Oryctolagus cuniculus: one gene and its partner. The protein of the gene in region 2 interacts with the protein of the main gene of each other region in a pairwise test. Links are inferred from orthologs where the notes say so. Each region holds a gene or a part of one and is shown on either strand. Other genes may lie near its edges.

Evidence for each region. The genes of interacting proteins can lie anywhere in the genome.
Region 1: the proteins of MAP1A (region 2) and RHOB interact in a two-hybrid assay, tested with the Homo sapiens proteins (2 studies listed by BioGRID and IntAct). The link is inferred for Oryctolagus cuniculus from reciprocal best matches to the Homo sapiens genes MAP1A and RHOB.

What each region holds. Positions count from the first base shown.
Region 1 is NC_091433.1:182,131,850-182,137,898, reverse strand, and holds RHOB (rho-related GTP-binding protein RhoB), read left to right. Parts: upstream 1-1,315; 5' UTR 1,316-1,683; coding exon 1,684-2,274; 3' UTR 2,275-3,686; downstream 3,687-6,049. UniProt on the Homo sapiens protein: Mediates apoptosis in neoplastically transformed cells after DNA damage. Not essential for development but affects cell adhesion and growth factor signaling in transformed cells. Plays a negative role in tumorigenesis as deletion causes tumor formation.
Region 2 is NC_091443.1:66,494,249-66,502,327, forward strand, and holds the start of MAP1A (microtubule-associated protein 1A), read left to right. Parts: upstream 1-3,135; coding exon 3,136-7,330; coding exon of another isoform or gene 7,331-7,477; coding exon 7,478-8,079. UniProt on the Homo sapiens protein: Structural protein involved in the filamentous cross-bridging between microtubules and other skeletal elements.

The DNA of each region.
Region 1 (6,049 bases), on a different chromosome or scaffold from region 2:
CCTTCTGATGGTTCAACCGATGCGGGCCAGGATGGGCCCTAGAGGGTAACAGCCACTAGGTTGACCTGTGAGTGGCACTGAAACCACAGGCTCCCTCTCAGCTGCCTGCGTGGGTTCGCCTGGGTGACTGTTAGAGTGGATCTGGAGCTGAGGTAAGAGCCCCCCAGAAAATCCCCACTGAGCTCCTGAACAAGCGGGTCGATCCTCCAGTCACCTGCTGGCTGGGTCCGGAGGACGCTGGCGCCCCCACCAAACCACAATCCAGAGGCAGACAGACAATGGGGCAGTGAGCTCGCCGTGATGGGCAGGTCTCCCTTCGGGTTTCCAGACCAGAGGTGAGGGCCACGTCCCGCAGGGTCCCCGGGGCAGCTGCCTGCAGCCCTGCTGGTTTGGGGCGATGGACCCCCAGCGCGCGCTCACTCGCACCTGCGAGCCCTGGGCCCCTGCCCCACCGTTCGCCGGCTCAGTGGGGTTTAGGGGGCCAGATTCTATTGCACTCTTCGTTCGGACACGGCTCTGCCTTAACAAACGGATCCGAAAGAACCACGCAGAGTTTCGGCCAAATACCCCGGCCTGCCCCTTCCCATTCATCGAACCAGCGCTCGCCCACTCGGTCTCCTTTCCCTCACCTTCGCCCGGCGACCCGAGCTGGGGGGTCCTGAAAGAGGAGGGCAGGGGCTTGCAAGGGCCGGGAGGCTCGGCCCAGGCCCACCCAGGTTGCAGTGGGCGCCTCACGCCAGGGGCTCAATCCCAGGGCAAGGGCGCCCCGGGAGGCCCGAGCACAGAGCGGCCGGCTCCAAAAGGGCGAAGAAGAAACCTTTCAGTTTGGAAACAAAAGTGCGTGTGTGGCCGTGCGTGTGCGTGTGTGTGTGGTTGTTTACTTACAAACAAAACCACGTTACGGGAGCCGCCCCTCCCCCGCCCCAGGTCCGACCACCCGCGGGGGGTTGGCCAGAAAGCCCCGCGATTCTGCTCTAAAAGGAGGCGCCGACCCCCCACTCCAAAGTGCCGCCCCGTCTCGGAACCCGCGGGCCCAGACCCCGCGGGCTCTAGGCAGCCAGCCCTCGGGCCACGACGAAGGCGGGGAGCCGGGGCCGCCGCGGCCCCGCAGCGCCGGCGGCCGCGCAGACTCCACGGTCGCCGCCTCTCCCAGCCCCGCGGCCAGGGCCGTCAATCAAGCCCGTGCGGCCCCGCCTTCGGGCTGCAGCAGGCGGCCAATCAGAGCCAAGCTCCGCAGCGATGAGCTCAGCCGGCTCGCTTCCTATTGGGCGGCTATATTAAGAAAGTGGCCGGACTCTTTAAATAGCAGGCGCTAGGGCCGCAGCCCGCATCTGCCACCGCAGTCTGGCTGGAGTCGTCGGCGCCCTGGTACGCGCGGCCCGGGACCCGGGAGGGGGAGCGGGACCGACCGCAGCCCGAGCCCTTGTGGCGCACAAAGCCGCCGACCCCGGCCCGGGGCGTGAGCCGCGGCCGCAGTCCGCGAGCAGCGCGGCGCGCCCTATGCACCCGCGCCCCCGCCGCGGCAGCCTGAGCGCCCGGAGAGAACGCGCCACCGCGGGGCCTGGGTGCAGCTAGCGACCCTCGCCCCCCAGCGCGCCGCCGGAGGTGAGCAGTGAGCGAAGCGAGCGGGACGGCAGCGAGGCGCTCGCGGGCCCCCTCCTGCTGCCCGGGCCCGGCCGGCTCATGGCGGCCATCCGCAAGAAGCTGGTGGTGGTGGGCGACGGCGCGTGCGGCAAGACGTGCCTGCTGATCGTGTTCAGCAAGGACGAGTTCCCCGAGGTGTACGTGCCCACCGTCTTCGAGAACTATGTGGCCGACATCGAGGTGGACGGCAAGCAGGTGGAGCTGGCGCTGTGGGACACAGCGGGCCAGGAGGACTACGACCGCCTGCGGCCGCTCTCCTACCCGGACACCGACGTCATCCTCATGTGCTTCTCGGTGGACAGCCCGGACTCGCTGGAGAACATCCCCGAGAAGTGGGTGCCGGAGGTGAAACACTTTTGCCCCAACGTGCCCATCATCCTGGTGGCCAACAAGAAGGACCTGCGCAGCGACGAGCACGTCCGCACAGAGCTGGCGCGCATGAAGCAGGAGCCCGTGCGCACGGACGACGGCCGCGCCATGGCCGTGCGCATCCAAGCCTACGACTACCTCGAGTGCTCCGCCAAGACCAAGGAGGGCGTGCGCGAGGTCTTCGAGACGGCCACGCGCGCCGCGCTCCAGAAGCGCTACGGCTCGCAGAACGGCTGCATCAACTGCTGCAAGGTGCTATGAGAGGCCGCGCCCGCCCGTCTGCCCCCGCCTGCGCGGCGCCCCCTCCCGGGCCGGTCCCCCAGCCAGCCGTGGGGAGGGGAGGCCCACGCCCCTGCAAGGACCCCACCAGACTGCCTGGCGTCTGCGGGCGGCTCTGGCTCTCGCGCCGAGAAGCGCGTGGGCACCGGGCGCCCCCTTCCCAGTGTCTGCGTGCGTCCAGCTGTGTGGCACAGGCCCGGGCGCCCCCGCTGAGTGCCAAGGGTCCCCTGGACATCCTGTTCTGAGGATCAGAGCCTCAGAGCGTGTGACTGCGTGTACGTTCTACTGCCCCCTCGCTCACATTGTCACACCACCCCCGCCTCGGGTCCCCCCGGGGTGGGGGTGGGGGCCGGGGCCGCGCCCCATCGGATGTTAGCCCGTAACCCGCGAGCGCCTGCTATCCCTTGTTTGTAACATAGACCCCGGGAATTGCGGGAGGGAGGGCTGGGGAGGAGGAGGGGGGTGTTCTATAAATACAGATATAATTTTATTTTCGGAGGTAAGATGGTGTTATTTAATGGTCGTGGTGGGTGGAGTGACCAGGGCGTTAGAACAGCTCTGGCCCCGGGCTGGGTCAGGCGCCCATCCAAGCATGACCAGGACTTGGCCATCTTTCTGAGCCCTGGGGAAGACATTTGCAACTGACTTGGGGCTGAAGGGACACAGCTTTTAGAAGCAGCAGGTGCTGCCAGCCCCCAGCGAACCTCTCTCCAGCAGGAGGAGGGGCGGGGCGTGTGCTGGGGGCCTTGTTGTTGCCATAAGCGAACTCTGTGCCTGACAAGTGAAAACTGTTCAGTCCAAGAAACGGATGTTTTTTTGATTTATTTAAAAGCTGAAACTTTTTTTTTTTTTGGAAAGAATTCTTTGCACAGTTGTTTCATTGTTTGACACTTAATGCACTTGTCATTTGCATAAGGCAGTAGCATTCTGTATGCTGTAACCTCATCTACTTTGGATTTATTTTTTTTGAATGATGATTTTGAAAACAAGGAAAAGAAAAAGAATTTACTAATTTTTCCTTGGTTTTCTCGAGAAAAGTGGCACCACTGTTTTGAGATTTTATTTGTGCAGGTCATGCACACTGTTTTGATAAGGGACAGTAACCCGTGTTGGGGCCTATTGAGAACTTTTTTGTTTTCCCTGCAAGGCAGCCTCTGCAGCTATGTGAAGTTTTCTCTGCTTCTCTGTACAGAGAATAAACCTGCCCGTTTCTCCCCTCCCTCTTCCTGCCCAGTGGTACTTCTACTAAACTGTTGTCTTGTTTTTTTATTTTTCCAATAAACTGACAAATGACAAAGTGGTGAGCTTATGATGTTTACATAAAAGTTCTATAAGCTGTGTATACAGTTTTTTATGTAAAATATTAAAAGACTATGATGATGACATTTATAAAATGGCTCTTGTGGTTTAATGCTCTGTAGTAAGGTATCCTTGTGCACGTGGGACAAGGGGAGAGACCCTTTCTGGGCAGTGACTGTCATAGCGGAGGGCGAAGGTCTGGGGGGCTCTGCGGGTTGGGTCATCAAGGGAGACCAGGTTGTTGGCTGTCACAACCCCAGAGGAAGACAAGCCGCTCACTCATGGCCCAGAGCAAAAACTTCAGCCTGATTAGGCGAGGCCAAAGGTCTTGGTTTTGTCTCTGTCTTAAAACCACTGTGACTATTGTGGACTTGGCTTCTTTTAGACTTGAGAAGCTGTCACTTGCGTGTTTTCAGTTTAGGTAACATTTCTGGGGCTGGTTGCCTGGGCTCCTTCCCATCCTCCAGGTCTGCACACCACCCTGTACAGTGGCAGGTTGCTCTGCCTGGGGCTGGAGCTCCAGGGGCTCTCCTGGGGAGGGTTCTCTTCCGATGGAACTTCCCTGGGAAGGTGCCACAATGAGAGCCTGCCCTTCTCTGAGAAGGGCCGGTTGCAGACAGAGGGCTGGATGTGGTGGTGGTGGTGGGCGGTGGGAGTTATTTCAAGTTGGAGCAGCTCCGCTTTGGGAACCAATTAGGATGAGCTCTAATTTCAGACCCTGAGCCTTGCTGCAGTGGTTCTCCGAACCAGACAGGCCGATTTGTTCTTGGAGACCACACGAAAATCCCGCTGCAGGCGGGAGGACTCAAACCTGCCGGCGCAGAGGAAGGTGGTGCCAGCCTCCCCCACCTGCCTCCCAAGCGTGGCTCTGTCTGAATCGGCATTTTCCACGTCTCCGCGCTCTGTTGCCACCCTCTCCTCTCCCACACCCAGGGCCAAGGCAGTGGAGGTCCCTCTTGAAGTTGTTTGCTTCAAGGCTGAGGCTCGTTTCCCCTCTCCCCTGCGATTTCCAAGAGCTTTTGTTGAGTGAAGAAAACCTGGTTGTTGGTGGTGACCTTTCACCCACTTAACACAGGCTGAAACAGGCCTGCTCCACTGGGTGGGTGCAGGGCCAACAGAGGGGGATTGTTTGGACTCCTCCAGGAGCCACTCCTTCCTCGGCCCATGGCTCCACTCACCTCCATCCCATAACCTACTTTAAAACAAAACTTCCCATTGAAAGACAATGTTTATTTGCAAGTTTTTACAGCCAGCAAATCCTTTGGTACCAGGGAGTGCAGGGATGGGTAGGGGAGTGCTCAGGCCTGGGCTGAGTGCCCAGCACTCGGCTCTGCAAGCAGCCAAGAGCCTGGAGACTTGCCCCCCCACCCCCACCCCCAGAGGGCCTTTCTGGGTTTCCCGCCTGTCCCATCTGCCTGCTACCTAAAGAGTTCTGCTTTTATATTTTGGGGAGACAACCACCCGGAAGAAGTAGAGCAGCCTGGTGGGGCCTGTTTTAACTGCGTGCCATTTAAAAACCCTGCGGAACATACTCTTCTTGCTGTGTTAGGGCCCAAGTGGAAAACAAAAAAACCAAGTTGCTCTAGGCTGGAAAATCAATTAGGGGGGGAAAAAAAGGTAAAACATCTGGTGTGACTCTTAGAATATGAAAATTCATTTTGCACATTTAAAAGAAATGTGCTGAGTTCATTTAATTGCCTGTTGAAACGATTCATGGAAAATAGTGGGAAGTTTCATTGATCCTGGGTGTTTTATAGCAAGGGGCGTTGTCTCGGGTTTTCCTTTAATCTCGATCTCAAATCAGTCTGGATTGCATTTCTGAGGTCTTTTTCCCATGTGTTTCGGTAGACTGAGAAAGGATGCTTTATACGTAAGTGTGACCAGAATCCTGCTAGGGCTGGTCACAGCGCGGATTGCTGGGCCTGGCCTTGGCGGAGTTTCTGATGCAGTAGGTCCAGGCTGAGGGTTCGGGAATTTGAATTTCTAGCAGGGCCCTGCATGACGCTGATGCTGCTGGCTTGGGGGCCCGCACTGTGAGAAGCAGCGACTCGGACAGAGGGAGAGTCCCCGTCGGTGCACACAGGAGGGAGAGGGTGTCTATGTCAACGCGGCTCTCCCGACAGCGACAGCGTTGCAGCCAGCAGCTCTGGCTTCCTCAACCCTCAGGGGATACAGACTTTCCCAGAGCTTTCCTTCCAGGCTACACCACACAGACTCTGTCTTCTCACCCTGCATGCTTCTGCCAAAAGGCACTTGATTCCCTTCTAGAAATTTCTCTTCGCCATTTGTGAATTCAGAATGCAGCAGCACCCTGTAATTCAGCTGGCCTTGGCCCGTGCTTCATCAGCTCTGATGAGGAAAGAAGAAAAAAAGCAGCGAGAAGCAGTCCTTGCCCTCGTGAGCCACTTCACTGGTGGGCCAGGCAGTTGCAGGAATGCGTTCCCCAGGAGCAGGCCAG
Region 2 (8,079 bases):
AAGCTAGGGGACACTGTGGAAAAGGGTCGTTCAGACGTGGCATGTGCGTCCTCACAGACCAGCCTGTTCTCAGTGGGTTTCCCCAACCAGTTTTCTGCAGGCAGCTTGAGCCTGGGGCTCTAAGCCCCCCTTCCTGGCCCCCTGAGGTCCCTCCGGAGATTGGGAACGCTCCCAGCCAGCAGCTGCCCCGCATTCCCTGCGCTGTCAACCCCACAGGTTCCCAGCCTCAACCCCACCCCCACCTCCTCTCCATTCTTTTCGCAAGATGGGGGCTCTAGAACAGAGAAGCCAGTTTCTTCTCCTTCTCGGCAAAACCCCCTACCCCCACCGCCACCCCCCTCACAGAGGCAGCCAAGAAAATGACTTGTCATGCTGGGGTGGGGGTGGGGGCGGAGCCGGCGCCGAGCTCAGCGCGCACACTCACACACACTCACACACTGCGGCAAACTGCAGCTGCCGGCCCCCCCAACCCCCACCGCCTCACTGCGGAGACACCTGCCCTCCCTGGGCCTGCCCAGCCCCGCGCCCCTGCCCCTTTCCCTGGAAAATGGAAAACTCAGGCAGTTCCCTTTACTGGGCAGGCTAGGGGAGCCGGAGAGAGAAACAGGGCTTTCTCCCAGGCCTGCAAAAGATATAAACCATGTAGCTGCAAGTCAGAACCACTCCCTAGCACAGGGCTGGGGATGGGGTCTGATGTTGGGATGTGAGCTGGGCTCAGAGAAGTCTGAAGTCTGTGATTATAAAGCCGGGCTGGGGGGAGAAGCGGGTGTCAGGAACCAAGTCGGTGTGTACTGTAGATATTCCTTGGAACTTTCCTAGCTCAAATGTGTGACCTTGTTTGTGAAGGGGGAGCTTCTGCCCTTCTAAATCTGAACCATTTTGTGCTGGCGGCTGCCAGGACCTTGGTGTCCCTTACCTGCCCAAGCCCCGCCCCTGCATGCCTCTGAGGAGTTCTCGTCCTCTGCACTGACCCCGGAGGTTCCCTCCGTTTCCTAGTTATTAGATGAGAGCGAACCCCTAAGCTCCTCTGAGGCCCAGCTCACCCCGGTACAGAGTTGGGCGTCTGACACCGGCCACAGTTCATTTCCCCCGCAGCTGCGTCTGCAGCCCTGTGCTGCCAGTTCTGCCTGATGCTGGCACGGTGGCTCTTCCCCCCCGTGTAACAGCCCCCGGAGAGAAGAGAGAGCAGAGAGCGGGGTCACAGAAAGACGGTCTAGGGCACAGATGATGAGCCCTCCCACCAGGATCCTCCAGAGAGCCCCCTCCCTGGGCCACCTATGGGACTGCTGTTGTGCAGGTGGTGGCTGGGGGAGGGGGAGGAAGGGCAGGAGCAGGGGCTGGCCGCATCCTTCTTCCCACTCTTCTGTCTGACCTGCTTTTGTGCTAAGTTGCTTGGTGTTTCATGTGGGTCTGGAGAAGGAAGCAGAGAGGGGATTTAGGGAGTCTTTTTGCACAGATTGGGGGAAACTCTGAACCTCTCCTTCCTTATTTACCTGTTTCTTGTTGTGAACACCTCACTCTCCATCTCCACGGTAGAAGGTACATAGGTGAGAAGAGAAACTGTTAGTCCGGGAGGGATTGTAGGGTAGTAAGCCTGGGGACGTGGGGGAGCGGTGGGACAGGGAGCTGGGAACAGAGTGACTGCGCGCGTGTGAGTGCAGACTGGGCCTCGGAGGAACCAGAGACCACAGCAGGAAGTTACAGTGCTGTGTCCACTCTTTGGACTGCTAACCCCCAAGGACTTAGATAACACAGGCGTCTCTGAATCCTCTGGAACAGGAGTTCTGGCCTTGAGCGGGGGATTGGCGAGGAGGATGTGTAGTCTGCAGACGCCGAGGTTCCCAGCTCCTGGTTTTCAGATGTTCTTGCAGCCAGGAAGCCCAGGGCAGAGGCCGGGCAGGAGGGAGCTGAGCGAGGCACATCTCCCAGGAGCCCTCTCTCCAGCTGAGCTGCCCATCCCCAGGCAGCACCAGGAACTCAGGGCTCTGGAGGGACAAAGGCTTCTTGTCAACAGGGCAGTCTGAGGGGGGCGTTCCAGGCGAAGGGATGGGGGCATGGGCAGCAGAGGCTGCGGCCAATGAAAGGGGAGAGACGACAGCCAGTGTGGGACCGGGGAACCCAGAAAGGGAAGGGCTGGAGGGCCCGGCGCCCGCACCTCACTCAGCAGTGTCCCAGGCAGCAGGATCTGAGGGTGGCCAGGGCCTTCCTTCCCCTCAGCCCCATTTTCTTTCCTGCCCCACACAACAGATGCCTCTGCCTTTTAGTCTCCGGCTGCTCTCTTCACATTTCTTCCTCTCTCTCCCTCAGGCCAGAGGACCCTCTGCCACCAGAGTGAGATCCTAGAGACTGTGATCCTGGTGAACCCCAGCGCAGACAGCATCAGCTCTGAGGTGAGCCCAGGGCCTGTGCCTTGCCAAGGGGCCACCACCGGGGCTGTGAGCCGCCCTTGCCTGTGCTCACTTCAAGGCCAAGAGTTCCTCCCTCTGCCATCTGAGCTGACTTCCGACGCCTGGCTTCCATGGAGGTGTTACAGGGGACACTGCTGGCAAACATGTCCAGGCAGGACTGAGCACGGGACCAGGCAAATTCAATGTGTTTTCCTGGGTTCCGCACATCTGTGACCATTCGTGTCCCTCCTTCCACCCAGGTTCGCCATTTTCTCAGCAGCCCATCGGCTCACAAGCTACTGATCTTGAGTGGGCAAAGCTTAGAGCCTGGGGGAGACCTCATCCTGCAGAGCGGCACCTACTCCTACCAAGACTTCGCCCAGGTCCTACATAACCCGGAGGTAAGCTCCACACCCAAGTGTCTATGGGGAAGCGGCTGTGGGGCAGGCCCCGAGCTGTGGGGAGGGACCCAAGGAAGGGTGGGTCTCATTCTGCTTGATCGTCAGGGGCCCCTGGAGAAAGGTGAAGATCAGGGACCGAGTCGGAGTCAGGCTGACAACCCAGTGACCTGATCAGGCTTCTGTCTCCATTCCTCCAGATTGCTCAGTTGCTCAGCAATAGAGACCCTGGGATCCAGGCCTGCCTCACCGTGTCCTGCTTAGGGGAGGGTGATTGGAGCCATCTGGGACTATCCAGTTCCCAAGAGACCCTGCACCTCCGGCTCAACCCTGAGCCCAGGCTGCCCGCCATGGACGGCGTGGCTGAGTTCTCTGAGTACGTCTCTGAGACCGTGGACGTGCCGTCCCCTTTCGACCTGCTAGAGCCCCCCACCTCAGGGGGCTTCCTCAAGCTCTCCAAGCCTTGCTGCTACATCTTCCCTGGTGGCCGCGGGGACTCAGCCCTCTTCGCTGTCAATGGGTTCAACATCCTGGTGGACGGGGGCTCCGATCGCAAGTCCTGCTTCTGGAAGCTGGTGCGGCACCTGGACCGAATCGACTCGGTGCTACTCACCCACATCGGGGCAGACAACCTGCCGGGCATCAATGGCCTCCTGCAGCGCAAAGTGGCAGAGCTGGAGGAGGAGCAGTCGCAGGGCTCGAGCAGCTACAGCGACTGGGTGAAGAACCTCATCTCGCCCGAGCTCGGCGTCGTCTTCTTCAACGTGCCCGATAAGCTGCGGCTGCCGGATGCCTCCCGCAAGGCCAAGCGCAGCATCGAGGAGGCCTGCCTCACACTGCAGCACCTACACCGCCTGGGCATCCAGGCCGAGCCTCTGTACCGTGTGGTCAGCAACACCATCGAGCCTCTGACCCTCTTCCACAAAATGGGCGTGGGCCGGCTGGACATGTATGTCCTCAACCCCGTTAAGGACAGCAAGGAGATGCAGTTCCTCATGCAAAAGTGGGCAGGCAACAGCAAAGCCAAGACGGGCATCGTGCTGGCCAACGGGAAGGAGGCTGAGATCTCGGTGCCCTACCTGACCTCCATCACGGCTCTGGTGGTCTGGCTACCAGCCAACCCCACCGAGAAGATCGTGCGAGTGCTTTTTCCAGGCAACGCTCCCCAGAACAAGATCCTGGAGGGCCTGGAAAAGCTCCGGCATCTGGACTTCCTGCGCTACCCTGTGGCCACCCAGAAGGACCTGGCCTCTGGGGCTGTGCCTGCCAACCTGAAACCCAGCAAAATCAAACAGCGGGCAGACAGCAAGGAGAGCCTCAAAGCCGCCACCAAAACAGCCGTGAGCAAGCTGGCCAAGCGGGAGGAGGTGGTAGAAGAGGGAGCCAAGGAGGCCCGCTCGGAGATGGCCAAAGAGGTAGCCAAGACTGAGAAGAAGGCCAAAGAGCCCACCGAGAAGCCCCCAGAGAAGCCTGCCAAGCCTGAGAGGGTGAAGACGGAGTCCAGCGAGGCTCTGAAGGCGGAGAAGCGGAAGCTGATCAAGGACAAGGTCGGGAAGAAGCACCTCAAAGAGAAGATTTCGAAGCTGGACGAGAAAAAGGACAAGGAGAAAAAAGAGATCAAGAAGGAGAGGAAGGAGCTCAAGAAGGATGAAGGAAGGAAGGAGGAGAAGAGGAAAGACACCAAACCCGAGGCCAAGAAGATTTCCAAGCCAGACCTGAAGCCCTTCACCCCCGAGGTACGGAAGACCCTCTTCAAAGCCAAGGCCCCTGCAAGAGTGAAGCTGGACAAGAGCCGGGCTGCCCGTGGGGAGAAGGAGCCGCCTTCTGAGCCCCGGACGCCCCCGGCCCAGAAGGCGGCTGCGCCACTCCCATCAGTCGCCGGGCACCGGGAGCTGGCCTTGTCCTCACCAGAGGACCTCACCCAGGACTTTGAGGACCTGAAAAGGGAGGAGAGGGCTTTGCTGGCCGAACAGAGGGACACAGGACTAGGAGAGAAACCACTGCCTATAGATTCTACACAGGAGGGACCCCCCAGCCTGGCTCCCCAGGGAACACAGCCCTCTGTCCCTGGGTGGGAACCAGAAGAGCGTGCGATAGAAAAGGAAGCTGCCCCAGAAATCCCTGGGGAACAAGGCAGCAAGGACCAAGGCCCGGACTCTGGGGCAGAGACAGAGGAAGAGAAAGAAACCTGTGAGGAGAAGCAGCAGCAGGAAGCAGAGAGACTCCCAGACAGACCAGAAGCCAGAGAGGAGAGTGAGCCCGAGCTGAAGGAGGACGTGATCGAGAAAGCCGAGGTAGAAGAAATGGAGGAGGCACGGCCGTCAGACGAGGAGGAGGAGGAGGAGACGAAGGCTGAGGGTCTGTACCAAAAGCATATGCAGGAAGCCTTCAAGGTGACTGCCAGGGACAGAGAGGCTCTCGAGGGCCGGGAACTGGGGCCCCAGGCTAAGGTCCCCGAGAAGGAGACCGCATCATTCCTAAGCAGCCTGGCCACCCCTGCGGGAGCCACTGAACATGTCTCCTACATCCAGGATGAGACGATCCCTGGCTACTCGGAGACGGAGCAGACCATCTCCGATGAGGAGATCCACGACGAGCCCGAGGAGCGCCCGGCTCCACCCAGATTCCCTCCAAGTACCTTTGACCTCCCTGGGCCTGAAGGTGCTGGCCCCTTTGAAGCCGGCCAGCCTGCAGACAGTGCTGTTCCTGTCACCTCCAGCAAAGGCTATGGGGCGCCGGAGACTGAACTCCCCTACCCCACCAACCTGGTGGCCGCGCCACTGGCTGAAGAGGAACACGTGTCCTCGGCCACCTCAATCACGGAGTGTGACAAGCTCTCTTCCTTTGCCACGTCAGTGGCTGAGGACCAGTCTGTGGCCTCGCTCACAGCTCCTCAGACGGAGGAGACAGGCAAAAGCTCCCTGCTGCTCGACACGGTCACGAGTATCCCCTCCTCCCGCACCGAGGCCACCCAGGGCTTAGACTACGTGCCGTCGGCTGGCACCATCTCACCCACCTCCTCGCTGGAGGAAGACAAAGGCTTCAAATCACCACCCTGTGAGGAATTCTCTGTGGCTGGGGAGTCGGAGAAGAGAGGAGAGGGGGTGGGGAGAGCATTGCCTGGGGAGAGAGCTGTGGGAGAGGAAGAAGAGGAGCCAGCAAACGCAGAGGTGTCTGAGAAACTTCACCAGCAGTATGGCTCCCCGATGTTTGGGGCCCCTGGGCATGCCCTACATCCAGGGGAACCAGCCCAGGGAGAGGTGGAGGAGCGGTGCCTCAGTCCGGATGACAGCACAGTGAAGATGGCCTCTCCGCCACCATCCGGCCCACCCAGTGCTACCCACACACCCTTTCATCAGTCCCCCGTGGAAGAAAAGTCGGAGCCCCAAGACTTTCAGGAAGAAGACTCCTGGGGAGGCACAAAACACACACCCGGTATGGACACGGAAGATGCTGCAAAGGAGACAGTCAGGCCAGGGCCTGAAGAGGGCACCCTAGAGAAGCAGGGGGAGAGGCCTGTTCCCAGGAGCCCCCAGGCCCAGATGGCACCTGTCGATATTCCAGGGGGACATGCAGGCCGCACCAGTCCATTGTTGCCAGTACAGGATGGAGCAATAGTCTTCGAGACCACAGAGGCAGGAGAGCCCACAGGCCCAGTTCTAGCAACAGAAACCCTTCCCAGAGATTTGAAGCCGTCGCTTCAAGAACCTGGTGAACCTCAGAAGGAGGAGGTACCCCAATTTCCTGGCCAGAGCCTCTCTCCTGAAGATGCAGAGTCCCTCTCTGTCCTCAGTGTGGTCTCCCCAGACACTGCCAACCAAGAGCCCACTCCCAGGTCTCCCTCTGGCCTACACAGAGACTTTTGGCCAGCGGCTTCTCCACAAGACACCCAGTCACTTTCTCTTTCCGAGGAGAGTCCCAGCAAGGAGACCTCTCTGGATATCTCTTCTAAGCAGCTCTCCCCAGAAAGCCTCGGAACCCTCCAGTTTGGGGAACTAAGTCTTGGAAAGGAGGAAAGGGGGCCTCTGATGCAGGCTGAAGACACTGCTCACCACCCGGCTCCTGTTTCTCTCCCAGAGCCTCATGCAGCCACATTGTCACCTCCCAGAGATGAGACCACTGGCTACTCCACACAGGGAGACATCATGTATGAGAGCCCTGATAGAAGATCACCTGCCAGCTCCTTCTCTCATCCTACACTGTCAGGTGAGGAGAAGCACTCACCTGGCGTGGTCACAAGCCCTGGCGAACATATTATGACACCTGATAGCTCCATCACCAAGAGTCCAGAGTCTCTGCCAAGCCCTGCCATGGAGGACATTGTCATGGAGTGGGAAGGGAAAGTTCCACGGTTGAAAGATGGAACCCCCGAGGAGAAGGACAGGGAACCCGAACAAAAGGATGAAGTTGTACAGCAGAAGGACAAAACCCTGCAACAGAAGGATACTGCTGTAGAGCAGGGCACAGCCATCTGTCAGAAAGATGAGGCTCTGAGAGCAGGGGACGAGGCTGTGGAGCAGCAGGGTAAGGCTTTAGAACAAAAAGGCAAAGACATAGACCAGAAGGATGTGTCCCCAGAACAGAAGAGCAAGGCCCCAGAAGTGAAAGATAAAGACTCGGAACAAAAAGACAAGATCTTGGAAATGAAAGACAAAGATGCGGAACCAAAAGACAAGGCCCAGGAAGTGAAAGACAAAGACTCGGAACAAAAAGACAAGATCCCGGAAGTGAAAGACAAAGACTCGGAACCAAAAGACAAGATCCTGGAAGTGAAAGACAAAGACTTGGAACAAAAAGACAAGACCCCAGAAGTGAAAGACAAGATCCCAGAAGACAAAGATGATGCCTTAGAACAAAAGGGCCCACCCCTGGAACAGAAGGACAAAGACTTAGAACAAAAAGACAAGGTTCTGGAACACAAGGAGAAGACCCCAGAAGAGAAAGACAAAGTCTTAGGACAAAAAGTCCAAGACTTTGAACATAAAGACACAGCTCCAGAGGACAAGGTTCTGGAACCTAAGGGCAAGACATCAGAACAGACAGACACAGTCCCTGAGCAGAAAGACAGGGCCCAGGCACAGAGAGAGAAGGCCTTAGAAGAAAAGGATCAGCCTTTGGAGCAAAAATACTGGGCTTTGGGAAAGAAGGATGAGGCCCTGGAGCAAAGTAACACGGCTGCCGAACAGAAAGACAAGGCTTCAGGAGAGGACAAAACCCAAGAGGATAAGACCATGAAAGCAAAAGAGATCCTAGGGCAGATGTCCCCGACAAAGGCCCAGGCTGCAGGAGAGAAG